3 linked regions of the Mus musculus genome follow. The protein of the gene in region 2 interacts with the protein of the main gene of each other region in a biochemical or structural test. Links are inferred from orthologs where the notes say so. Each region holds a gene or a part of one and is shown on either strand. Other genes may lie near its edges.

The links.
Region 1: the proteins of Prkaca (region 2) and Ube3a form a complex in vitro, tested with the Homo sapiens proteins (2 studies listed by BioGRID, with this or other methods). The link is inferred for Mus musculus from reciprocal best matches to the Homo sapiens genes PRKACA and UBE3A.
Region 3: the proteins of Prkaca (region 2) and Creb1 form a complex in vitro, tested with the Homo sapiens proteins (2 studies listed by BioGRID, with this or other methods). The link is inferred for Mus musculus from reciprocal best matches to the Homo sapiens genes PRKACA and CREB1.

The regions. Positions count from the first base shown.
Region 1 is NC_000073.6:59,227,218-59,231,585, reverse strand, and holds the start of Ube3a (ubiquitin-protein ligase E3A), read right to left. Parts: upstream 2,837-4,368; 5' UTR 2,315-2,836; intron 1,897-2,314; exon of another isoform or gene 1,786-1,896; intron 1-1,785. UniProt on the Homo sapiens protein: E3 ubiquitin-protein ligase which accepts ubiquitin from an E2 ubiquitin-conjugating enzyme in the form of a thioester and transfers it to its substrates.
Region 2 is NC_000074.6:83,971,555-83,975,806, forward strand, and holds the start of Prkaca (cAMP-dependent protein kinase catalytic subunit alpha), read left to right. Parts: upstream 1-1,423; 5' UTR 1,424-1,632; coding exon 1,633-1,678; intron 1,679-4,252.
Region 3 is NC_000067.6:64,574,256-64,577,901, reverse strand, and holds part of Creb1 (cyclic AMP-responsive element-binding protein 1), read right to left. Parts: intron 2,879-3,646; exon of another isoform or gene 2,683-2,878; coding exon of another isoform or gene 2,643-2,682; intron 1,724-2,642; coding exon 1,573-1,723; intron 1-1,572.

The sequences.
Region 1 (4,368 bases), on a different chromosome or scaffold from region 2:
CTGAAGAGAACATCAAAAGACTTAGAGGACTATTTTTATATTTTTATATTGTTTTTCCGTATTTGAAAGTACTTAAAAGACCACCTCTTAAAACTCATCTCCAGTTGCAAAAATCAGAACACTGATGTTTTTAATAGCTGCATATAAATATAATATAAATCCATTAACAGTAATATTATCAATAATAACAAACAAACCTAATTAGAATAAATGATAATATACCAGTAACCATTCATTTAAGGTGTTGGTTTTTTTAAAGGACATTTGAAAAGATCATCTTAAGCTCTTGAACAGAAAAAAAAATAGCTATGGCCAATTAAAAAGAAAATGTTCATAAAAATTGAGAGAAACAATTATTACTGCAATTATTTGAGGGAAGACACAAATGTTTAAGAAATACAACTGAATAAAATTTACATGTCAGAGACATTATAGATACCTAATGAATGCAATGTTAAAAAAAAAAAAAAAAAAACGAATCAAATAGAATGAGTTTTGTCTCAGGTAGAAATCACATTTTTCTAATTTAAAACCATAAAAAGGGTAAATAGCCGGTCCTGGTGGTATACATTTTTAATCGCAGAACCCTGGAGACAAAGCCAAGAGGAGAGTTAGACGTCATCCAGCGATATACCATAAGACCCTTTCTCAAAAAAAAAAAAAAAAAAGGGTGATGGTGGCTATTTCAGGGATAAAAAAGCCACCTACAAAACCTGCATACAAAAGGAATTTTCTAAACTCAAAGTTAAGCTCCTCAGTTATATGAAGAGCAACATCCAAAGAAGTATGTGTATACCACTTCACAACACACCATGCAAGGTAAATATTGACACAAATTATTTCACAACCTACATTCTGATTTTGAAAACAAAACTACAAGTCATCTCATCTTTATTATGTGCTGTATCTTTCTTAAACGATAGACTGCGAATTGTTGAAGTTCTCATTTTTATTACAGATTCTGATACATGGCTTTTTTGTAAAGCTAAGTATTTATGGATTTACAGTCATCCTTACTTAGGCTTATCAGCAATACAGATGCAGTATCCACTTCCTTAAAAGTGCAGTAAGCAGTCTATTTAAGAGGAGAATTTAATACTAAAGCAATTTCTGTCATACATAACAAGACAAAATTTTCCTTTTATCTCTCCTCAATTCTAAATTTACATAATTTACCAAAAAGATATCTTAAGAGTATTAACTAATCTGAGGTGTGTCAAAAACATTCGTCGTGTCTCTTGTCCAATAGGGCTTTGATATTTAGCTTTTTAACAGCTGTATTTCTTAAAGTTCAGGCCATCTTTATTTCAAACGCACTTCCCTATCCAAAACATTTTAACATAATCTGCTGCTTCTCCCAAAACCATGGGTTATACGAATATCCTTCACGAAGTAAGATAATGGTGGATAACACATCCCATATACTATTTAGTTAACATTTCCAACAGTACACTAGCTATTTAACGCAATCCCAAAGAGATTTTATACTGTTCTATTTTAGCATGCTCAAAAGACATAAAAAAAATTGACGTAAAATTGTCTTTAGAGGATTCTTCTAAAGCTGATAAAGTCTTATTAAAATTATACTTTCTATTTTTAAGGCTAACGCAATTATAGCACATTCAACTCTGATTCTTCCAACAAAAAGCCTCCGCATCAAAATGGGGAAAACGTCCTTTTCATTTTCTCAACTGAAAAGGGGGAGGGGAGAAGAGGAGGAGGCCAACTGCTTACAGGTTTGCATTGAAAATTAACACAGCAGTTTCTGAGGAATCAGTAACTCACGTTCAACTACTGAATCCTACCAGAAGCAGCACACGAATAAAACCAGAGCGCAATCCTTGGGCTTGAGGTGCCGCTTCATCCGTCTTCCTTCCAATCCACCCCCAATACCCCAACCCACTAAGCACACATCTAAATATGTCTTCCCCACCAGAGCGCCCCTTTGGAGGAAAAGGCCTGCCTTTCGCAGCCTGAAGCCACGGCTGGCTCTCCGATCTCTGCTTAGATGAGGCCCCCGATCTCGACGCCCTGCACGTCCGCCCCACCCCGGGCCCACTCGGGTACCCGTGGGTGACAAAACCCTCCCTCCTGCGTCCAGCCAGCACTGACAGTTAAGGCTGCAGCAGCCGCAGCCACCAGGGCCTAGTCCTGGCACCGGCCCCTCCAGACCACGCGCCCCAAGCACTCGCTCACGGAGGCGGGTGAGGGCCCGGCGCCTACCCTGTCAGCGCGGGCCGGAGGGTGACGAGGGGACCGGCGGTACAGACCAGAGGGAGCGCGCCGGGCAGGCCGCAGCCGCAGCAGCACTGACCTGTCCTCGCCCCCGCGCGTGGGCTGCGGCCCTCGCAGCTGCGGCCGCCTCACTGGTCCTTGTCGCCCTCGTCCACCGCCGCCGCCCGCCACCGCCTCGTTCCCTTTCGCTGGCGCCACCGCCGGGTCTCATGCGGGACCCGCGCTTCTCCTCAGGAAACCGAGGCCGAGAGGCCAGGCGCCTGGGCAACCTTGAAGTCGGCGCTGAAGCGCTGCTGTCGCGATCTGTCCACAGTGGGGGGCGAGGGCGGCGAGCAACTCCGAAGAGAAGCAGAAGGAGGCGCCACCGTCAGCGACAGGTCGACGGAAGAGAAGCGTAACGAGGCGGTGAACAGCTGCGTGGCCCGGTGCGCGAGCGAGAGAGCGAGCGCAGGAGGGGCGACGAGGTGCTGGCAAAGACGAAAGGCCCTGTCGTCTCCTGGAGTCACCCAAAGAGGAGCGCCACCATCTTGGGAGAAATACGGATCTCGCGAACGCAGCACTGGACGAGAGGACTAGGTGGGCGGACCGAGTATCCCGACAGGCAGCGCGCGCCAACCCTGCCGGGCGAGGGCTCGGAGTCCGGAGGCGGGATGCGAGGCGGGGTTGCGCGTGCGTGGGATGGCGACGGGCTCTGCCCCGCCCCGATCGCAGCTCTGTGGGGCCCTCCTCTAGCTCGCCTTCGCCTGCGGCGCAGGGGCCTTTGGGAAGGGGAGATGGCCTTGGGCTGGGTGGAAGCTGGCCAGCATCGTCGCCATCTTGAGACTGGGCTGAGAGAGGCTTGGTGTTTTTAGCCTCTGCTCCTTTTACTCAATCTATAGACCAGTGTGCTTCGGTGTACTCGCGAGAGCGGACAGGTCTACCCAGCCTAGCAAAGCCCAGGAGTCAGAGGGACGAATAGGCCAAGAGGGTGTAGCCTACTGGCGGCACGAGGAGGCATAGAAGCGTTTTGTTGCTAGAGCTGACCCTTACGACTTTTCATCCGAACTGTCCGAGTAAAGGATTCAGGCGTTGAGATTGGGCAACCTTTCAGCAAACAAGGCCATCAGCCTCTGCCAGAACATGATATGTCACTGGCTTACCAGACTAGTAGGTAAAAGCCCAGCCCCTCCTGTGTTGTCTTCCAGTAGATGTCAACTGAGAAGAAACCGCCTTGCTTGATCACACGTGGATAGAGACTAATTTTGATTTACAGAACACCCGAACCCTGTTAGAGCCATGTGACTTGTTGGTACCGGAGTGAGGGTTTAACTTAGGTTTGTTGTTAATGATTTTGACACTAAATTATTATAAAGACTAGCTGACATGTTATTTCCTGGCTTGCAACTTAGTAAGCCTTAATCATCTAGTGCTCAAAATGTAACAATCACATGTATTAATGTGCTTTTCTGTTTATTACAGCTCCTATAATGTGTGTGTATGTGTGTGTATATATATATACACATCATATATATATGAAAGATCTCCCCACTATAAAAAATATTTTTATTATTGGTTTTTCAAGACAGATTTCTCTGTGAAGCCCTGGCTGTCCTGGAACCCACTCTGTAGACCAGGCTGGCTTTGAATTCAGAGATTCGCTTTCTGAATGCTGGGATTAAAGGCTTGCAATTTTTTAAAATTAAAAAATAATAGGCGTGTGTGTGTGTAAACTATTACAGGATAAATAATAAGTGCAACTGTTATATCAGATTTTAAGATACTTTAAATTTTTTCTATTCTTTTTTTTTCTCCATCCATTAAAGATCCTCATTTGGAATACCATTGTATTATATGAAAGGGGCCAGTAATAAATGTAACCCTTTAAAGAGTTATCTTTGCAAACTATTTAAATACAAAACCAAAACTGAAAATCATTAGACTGCTAAGAAAAGTAAAGTACATAAACTGTTGCAGCATGTGAAGACGCTTTCAGCTATTCACTCCTAAATAAAAGTCTGAAAATGAAAGGTCATGGTCTAGTCATGTGAATTATCAAAATGTAGCCAGCAGCCCAGACTTCTAAAAAGCTTAAAAGTTTAAAGGAAATACATATCCAAGTGCCAGTCAAGTTCTATATGGAGATCATGGAGAATA
Region 2 (4,252 bases):
GCTTAGAAGCTGGTTGTGCATTGTTGAGCAGTGAGTCTATAGGTATATGTACCTCAGAGTCAACTACCCTTTGGAGTCCAGGAGAGGTAGCTCATCGTCCACTCAGCACCGTCCACCCAGCACCGTCCACCCTGGCCACCCTCTATTACAGAGCTCTGGTGAGGGTAGGGATAATTTGTTTCCAAGAGTACATTTAGCAGTATCTGGAGATGTTTGTGTTGTCCCAGGCAGCAGACAGATGGAAGAGTACCAGCATCCAGAGTGTGAGGGTGGGGTTCTGATATCAACCTAGTGTGCAGGAGACCCTCCAGCAGAGTGCTCAGGCCCCTGGTGTCAGTGGCAAGGTGGGAAACTGACCACGTTCTGACAGTGCAGACTTGAAAGAACACCGAGTGAGGTTCTAGTTCAGTGGTACAATGCTTACTTCGCAGGGAGTATGCATCGTGTTCAATCCCCAGCATTGCATAAAAACAAAATTTAAAGATGAGCATCCAGAAGGAAGGAGAACGGCTCTCTTCCTGCCCAAAAGGGGCAGGTTATGTTGGTCATGTCTAGGCAATGGAGATTAGTTAAGAGCAAGGAACTAGCCTGACCGAGCCTCCATAAAATGGGAGTATGGCAGGCCCAACGTGCAAGGTACAAGAAGTAATGCACTTGGCTGGCGTCCGTAGTTACTACTTTTCAGGGGCCTAGGGTTGAGCCTTAGCAAAGAGTGTAGATACTCTGAGTCTCCTCCCAGCACGCCCTCAGTTCTGGGTCCAACATCCCCTTGCAGCTCCAGTTGTGTCGCGAGCAAACCAAAGCGGACCCCGAGCTAGTTGGGTCACGGCTGCCCAGTGTCGGGCCTCCTTATGAATGACACCGAACGGCGCCCGGCGACCCTTGACCCTCGGCGCCAGCCCGCCCCTCCCCCCCTGGCAGGTGGACAGCCGCTGCGCCGGCCCGCCGTGGCGTCAACCTCTGGCCCGTGGCCGCTGCCGCACTGGGCAGGGGCGGGAGACTGCAGCGCGCACATTGCCGCACGGGCGTCCGCCGGGCCGCCTCCCGCACCTCGCAGCGCCTGCCACCCAGCCACCCTCCAGCCGCCGCAGCCTCCGCCCCGCCCGCTGCCCGGGCCGCAGCCTGAGCCGCTGCCCCGCCCTCTCACCCCGGGACTGACACTAGCCGGGGCCGCCTGTCTCCGCCAATCGACGGCTTCGCAGGGGCAGCCCCAAGCCCTCTCGGGCTTCTCGGCCAATCACGTGCGTTCGCCCGCCCGACTGCGGCCTCACGAGCCCGTGAGTGGCGGAGAGTCTGCAACTCGCGTCACTCATCCAGGAGCCTATGGTGGCGCGGGAGGGTTCCGGAGGGCCAATGGACAGCGGCGTAGGGCTGTCAGTCAGGGAGGCCTGAACCAATGGGCGGTGGGCTGCGGGGGCGTCACGGACAGAGGACTTGGGCTGAGGCTCCCCCGCGGGCGGGCGCAGAGAGACGCGGGAAGCAGGGGCTGGGCGGGGGTCGTGGCGCCGCAGCCAGCGCAGCCAGCCCCAGGGGCCGCCGCCTCCGCTGCCCAGCGCGCTCCGGGGCCGCCGGCCACCTTAGCACCCGCCGCGTCGCAGCTCCGGGACTGGCCCCGGCCGCGACGCCGCCGCGATGGGCAACGCCGCCGCCGCCAAGAAGGGCAGCGAGCAGGAGAGCGGTGAGTGCCCGGCCGTCACCCTGATCTTCACTGCGTGCGGCCTGCCCGCGCAATGCCCATCACTGCATGGCCCCTCCCCCATATGCCCCCCCAATCTTGTCTGCCTGCACCCCTGCCTGCTGCCTGTTCACGTTGGGGTCGGATCACCGCAGAGATACTTTGCCCCCAGTAGGGCCTGGTGCCCATGGCCTACCATCCCCCACTGCAAAGGCCGTGCCCCCCCACCCAGCTGTCACTGCCAACCATTGCATGTATGACCGCCGGGGCCCCAGATGAGGCCCTGTCACCACACCAACCCCTCTTCTCCTAGTCCCTTTCTCCAGATTCTATACCCCCTCCCACTTCGTCACTTACCTTTCCCACACAGCGCCCCAATGCCTGACCCTGATCCAGGCTCCTGCCAGTTTCGGGAGTGCTGTGGGGTCCACGCTGCAGGGACCTTGGCCACTTGGTGACCACACCCCTCCCCCTCCAGCCCCCGCCATCTTTCTCCTACCCCTGCCCGATTCACCTCATCACAGCTCCCACCTCCAAGCCACCCCCACCCCCATGAGCATTTCCCGGGGCCACCTCCTGCATTGTTTTTCCCTTCTGTGTCACTTGGCATGGGGGACAAGATCTTTCTGGGTCCCTCTGCCCCTCTCATCCTGTCACTCCACCTCCTCCGTGCATTCGTCTGGCCCTGGCTGGGGTGGCAGACTGTTTATGAACCTAGAGAGCTGCTTCTGCGCTTCCTTATCCAAGTTGGAGCTGGTCTTGCTCAGAGCCATTACGTCTGTCCTTTTTCTTGGGTTGCGGGTGAGGTAAAGCGGCAGAGCACCCTCCTGGCCTACCCTGAGGTCTGGGTTCCTTAGAAGGCCCCTCAATAAATGGTCGTTTCACAACTGCGGTTCTGTCGTTCACCCAGCCCCTGGGGCTGGTTTGAAACTGCGGATGAAATGAATAGCAAAGGCTCATTCCACTGAATGGGGATGGTCAGAAGAATTGCGCGCATTGGGGTAACGCCATCCAGCAATAGGTGACAGCTAATGATTTGGTTTGCTTAAGACAGATGGATTCTGTGCATACCGAGGGCTCACCCAGAGGGAGGTATATCCACACACACATACACACACCCCCCCCCCAAAAAAAAAACCATGCTGAATTTTTCTAGCCAGGGAAAAAAAAGTGATTCTATATTTGAAATTACTTCAGAAAGGGCCTTGGGCCCTGTCCCCCAGTGCTTCATGTCTCAAAGTGGTGTCACTCCAAGCTAAAGCTGTACTGCAGCTGAGAACAGCTTCCAGTTACCCAAAAAGGAGGCTCTGATCAGCTGTGCCCTTCTCAGTGTCTGAGTCCCCCGAATGCCACTCAAGAAGCCCAAGAACTTTCTGCCCCTCCCCCCCCCCTTCAACCAGCAGAGCTCAGCCCAGCCTAGCAGCCTTAAGAGGCCTGGCATTTCACAGATGGGCGGGGGACAGAGGCAAGTGCTTGTAGTTGAGGGCTTGATGACAGAGGAGCAGGTGGGTAGTGCCCAAAAAGGTCTTGGGCTTGAGCTTGGAGGGCTCCGGGCAGAAGGAGAAGGGCCAGCCCCCTTGGCAGGTGAGGCCCACCAGGAGGTAGATGGTACGTGCAGTGGACTGAATACTGCAGTGGCCCCTCTGAAAGCTGAGCACAGTGCTAGGAAAGCTTTAAGCATATCAGACACACACAACAGGCACAGAGCCACAGAGGAGGGGAGAGCCCAAGGAAAAGATCAGAGTTTGAGAGTCAGTTGGACGGATGAACTCCGTGCATCCAGGAGGGCTTGGTTAAACGGTCTCCATAGACATACTTACTTTGATAATGTCTGTCCAGATGAGCCATCTGAGTTTGACACAGATGACAACACACAGGCAGAGTTCACATCCAGATCTGCTGACCAGCCCATCTCCTAGACCCCGTCATATCTCAACTCAGACATTCTTTGGTTTGCTTTGATTTTTAAAGACAGGATCTCACTATATAGCTCCTCTTGGCCTGAAACTTGAAATTTAGACCAGGCTGGCCTCAAACTCTCAGAGATCTGCCTGCCTCAGCTTCCCAAATGCTAGAATTAACGGCTTTCACCACCATGTCCAGCCTTCAACACATCAGCAGGAGTTAAACCCCAGTCATATTTTCTTAAAATGATAAAACAAACCCCATAATAGTGTATATTGACACTACCAGCAACCCAAGAGGCTGAGGCAAAAGGATTGCTTAAGCCCAAAAATTAAAGGCTAGCTTGGGTAACAGCAAAACCTTGTATCAAAATACAAAAGTCTACAGGATGGCCCTTAGGTAAAGATGTTTGCTATGAAGCTTGTTAGTCTGAATTGTCTTCCTGGGACCTACGTGATGGAGGGAGAGAGCTGACTCCTCAGAGTTGTCCTCTGACCTCCACGAGAGTGTGTGTACACACACAGTAAATATATAGAAACATTTAAAGAAAAAAAAAAAAAAAGAGGGACAGTGCCTCAAACCTAGCAAGGAAGGAAGGGCCTGTGACGCAGAAGGACCTGAGTTTGAGGCAGACCTGGGCCACAAAAGAGACAGCCTTTAAAAGCAGTAATA
Region 3 (3,646 bases), on a different chromosome or scaffold from region 2:
ACTGTGACAGTTAAGACTATTTCAGGAACAATGATGCTGACCTACCAAAAATAAAATTGTTGGAAGAGAAGGAGCAGTAGAGATGCCATGTGCTGTCTTACCTGACCCTGAGAGCCAAGCTTTGGGTGCAAGGAGAGATCTTATTTTACTCAAAGGTAGAAACCCAAGTTTAGGAAATTAATGTATTCTTCCAGAGTCATAGCTAAAGGGTGAATGCAGGAATTGAAGTTAGATCTGCTAAGTTCAATTTCTGTCTCATTTACTTTATCATAGTTCTTACACTCTTGGGGTAAAAAGAAGAATTTAAATAGTTTACATCTCTATACACCTTGATTCTCTTTTAGTTTTCACCTCCCTCCCCCATTATAGCCCCTTGATGTTTACTCACATGTTTTATGTGTGTGCAGGCTATCTTCCCTAATGTTGCTTTTTCGCTTACTCTTGAGTCATGGTTTCTTCAACCCAGAGCTTACAGACAAGCTTACCCTGAAAACCCCACCTGTGCCATCAGAGGAATTACAGGGCCCTACCAAGAATTTTATATGGGTTCTGGGGATCTGAACTCCAGTGTTCTTGCTTGGATGGTGAACACATTAACCAACGATGGCCTCCTCAGACCATTTGTTTTGTTTTGTTTTGATCATTTCCACATTAATAACTTCCTTTTTTTTAAGATGGCAAAAACATTTGAAAGCAAATAAATTTCTAAGAAAGGCTTTACCTGTGTTTTATAGCTTCTCTTCTGTACCACTTTAACTTCTTAAGACTAACATTAACTGTGCATTAAGGCTTTGTCGGGAATACCATACTTTTTAGAATTTCTCTGTTTTAAAAGTGTTTGGATGTTAAGTTATTACTGAGTAAAGAAAGCCCCTGCCCCTAAGGCCAGGCCCAAGGTTGTGATTCCAGCACTCACTCCCAGAGGCGGGAGGATAAGAGCTCCAGGCAACTTTGGCCCACACAGCAAGACTCTGACCCCAAACAAAGAACAAGGCAGGTGGCTGACCAACCCCTCTCACTCTAGTTCCAAGAGATCTAATGCATTCTTCTGCCCTTTGTGGTATGAATGTGGTACATATACATACATGTAGGCATTGACACATATGCATAAAACATGCATAAATAAATCTGTAAGTGTATAAAAATGCAAAAGAAAGTATTCATTAAAACAAAAATGGCTACTGTATACTTGTTATAAATAAATTTAATGCAAATAAACTAGAGTCTAATGTTAGTATACATATGTGACACTTTGATGAATATTACTTACAAATTTTTTTAATTAACATATCCTATTAGCTAGAATAAAGTACAAATTCATTAAAGCTATGTATTTCTCTTGTGGAAAAACTATGAAGAAAAATTACTTTTTTGATTGAAGACTGACCTAAAGTTCCATTAGCCATCTTATAAATGCAACTTAATAAACAAAGAAGCTTTAGCAAGATCCACTAATTCTACCAGAAAAAGAAAATCAATGCACAGAACCTACTGTTAGCAGATGTAAAGGCACACACAGAAGAGTTTATAGACATACTTGACCCATAGCATTTAAGTGTTTGGAATCTGTACCTGTTCTTCATTAGACGGACCTCTCTCTTCCGTGCTGCTTCTTCAGCAGGCTGTGTAGGAAGTGCTGGGGAGGACGCCATAACAACTCCAGGGGCAATGGTGCTCGTGGGTGCTGTGCGGATCTGGTATGTTTGTACATCGCCTGAGGCAGCTGCAGAGAAGAGCGAACAAGGTATAAGACACAGAAACACTACAATTTAATTCAACTGTGTCTCAATCAATCTAAACATACTTAGATTAAAAGGGAAACAGGGAATGGGACTCTATCTAAGAAGAAGACTCCAATTGTCTGTCCTATTTATTAGTACAGGTACGGGGCAGGGTGCCTCAGCGTCCCTGCGGGTCTTATTCATGTTGTGCTGGGAGGGAGATGCAGTCTGTGGTTTGCATGCTTGTCAGCTTTAAGTCTAAAGGAGCTGAGCAGAGATGTCCTCCCACACAGGCCTCAGTATCTTCCCTTGCTTTACATAAATTCACATTTAAAACAAAACCCAAAAAACTCAAGTAGACTCTTGCCACGACATAAAAACGACCATGATTTTTCATAAAATAGCAAAATAGAAGAAAAAAAATAAGCATATAGAAACTGTTATAAATTTCTAATTCAAACAAAACTCCAAGTATGAAAAACTGGACATTTGCTGCCAATCATGGTATATGTAAACATATCTTAATATAAGTGACTAAAACTAAGTAAGTAAAAGCTGAATTGTTTTCATTTCAGTTTTCTAAGACAGGGACTTACTATGTAGCCCTGGCTGTCTAGAACTCATTATGTAGACCAGGCTGGCTTAGAATTCAAGAGATCCACCTGCCTCTGCCTCTGCCTCCCAAGTGCTGGAATTAAAGGCGTGTAGTTTGGGTTTTCCTCACCATACAATCTCCATATGTGAAAAAAAAAATCACTATTTGTCCATTATTTGCTTCTAGAAACAGTGTCATGATATGCTTTCATAAGTACCCTAATACTATGTGAGAGATTTTGAATGTCTTTATAAAATCATTCATATCAGTTAAAAACACCGATTGTATCGTTTGAGGGACAAAGATTTATATACTAAACATGTTACCATATTCAAACTGACGTTGAGAATTCAAATTCACTGACATCCTGCTTTACAATTTTTTGAGTACCTGCATGTAAAGTGAAAAGGTGTTTTACTCCCACTAATAAGCAAAATATTTTTTAAATATCATTGGTCTAATAACAAGATATATAGTATAAATTTATTAGACATTGTTAAACAAAAGATGTTCTACTTGGTGTTGTGGTATGATCCAAAAGTAATTATCCATGGTGAAGGGATATAACTCTCATTAACACAGGCAACATTAGTTATTATTAATAAAATATTTTTAGAAGCAAATATTATTTTTTTAATCTATAAATTTTTAATCTGGTAATATTGAACTATGAACTGCTCAGTGAATTAATGCTGAATAGTTAACACTCTCCAGACTCTTGAAATTTTGGGAAACAAAACAAAACAAAACAAAACAAAATCCTCTCGTCCACCGAGGCTAAAGGACAACTTGTTCTCCAATGAGCAAGGATCTGCATAATGATGCTTGTTCTTATCCAAAATCCAAATTGATGACTTCAGAAAAGCTCTATATTCCTTTTAAATTAAAAATAATAAAAACAAGACAAAACAGATAAAACAGCAGAATCCACTAGAACTCTTTAATAGTGACATAGCACACAGAGGAGGGAAAGAAAGGGGCCCAGGGGAGCTAGTGTTACTTGAGGCCATTCAGCCTGGCTATAACTTCCTCAGTTCTCTTCTAACATATTTTGGTTCTTCCAATCCTGACTACTGAAGGCATTAAAGACAGGAAAAACCCCTTTTAAGCTAAAAGATAGTTGTTTTTATGCCATGACATTTTCATCTGAGTGGAAAGTTGCATGAGAGATATTTATGTATTAAATACATGCATATCTAAACTGTTAATATCTAAATCTATACTGAAGAAAACTATTTTAGTAGTGCTTTGTAATATACTTACTTTTCATGAGTATACACATTAATTTTTAAAAGAATGTACCATATGTATGAATTCTTAATTCTATTAC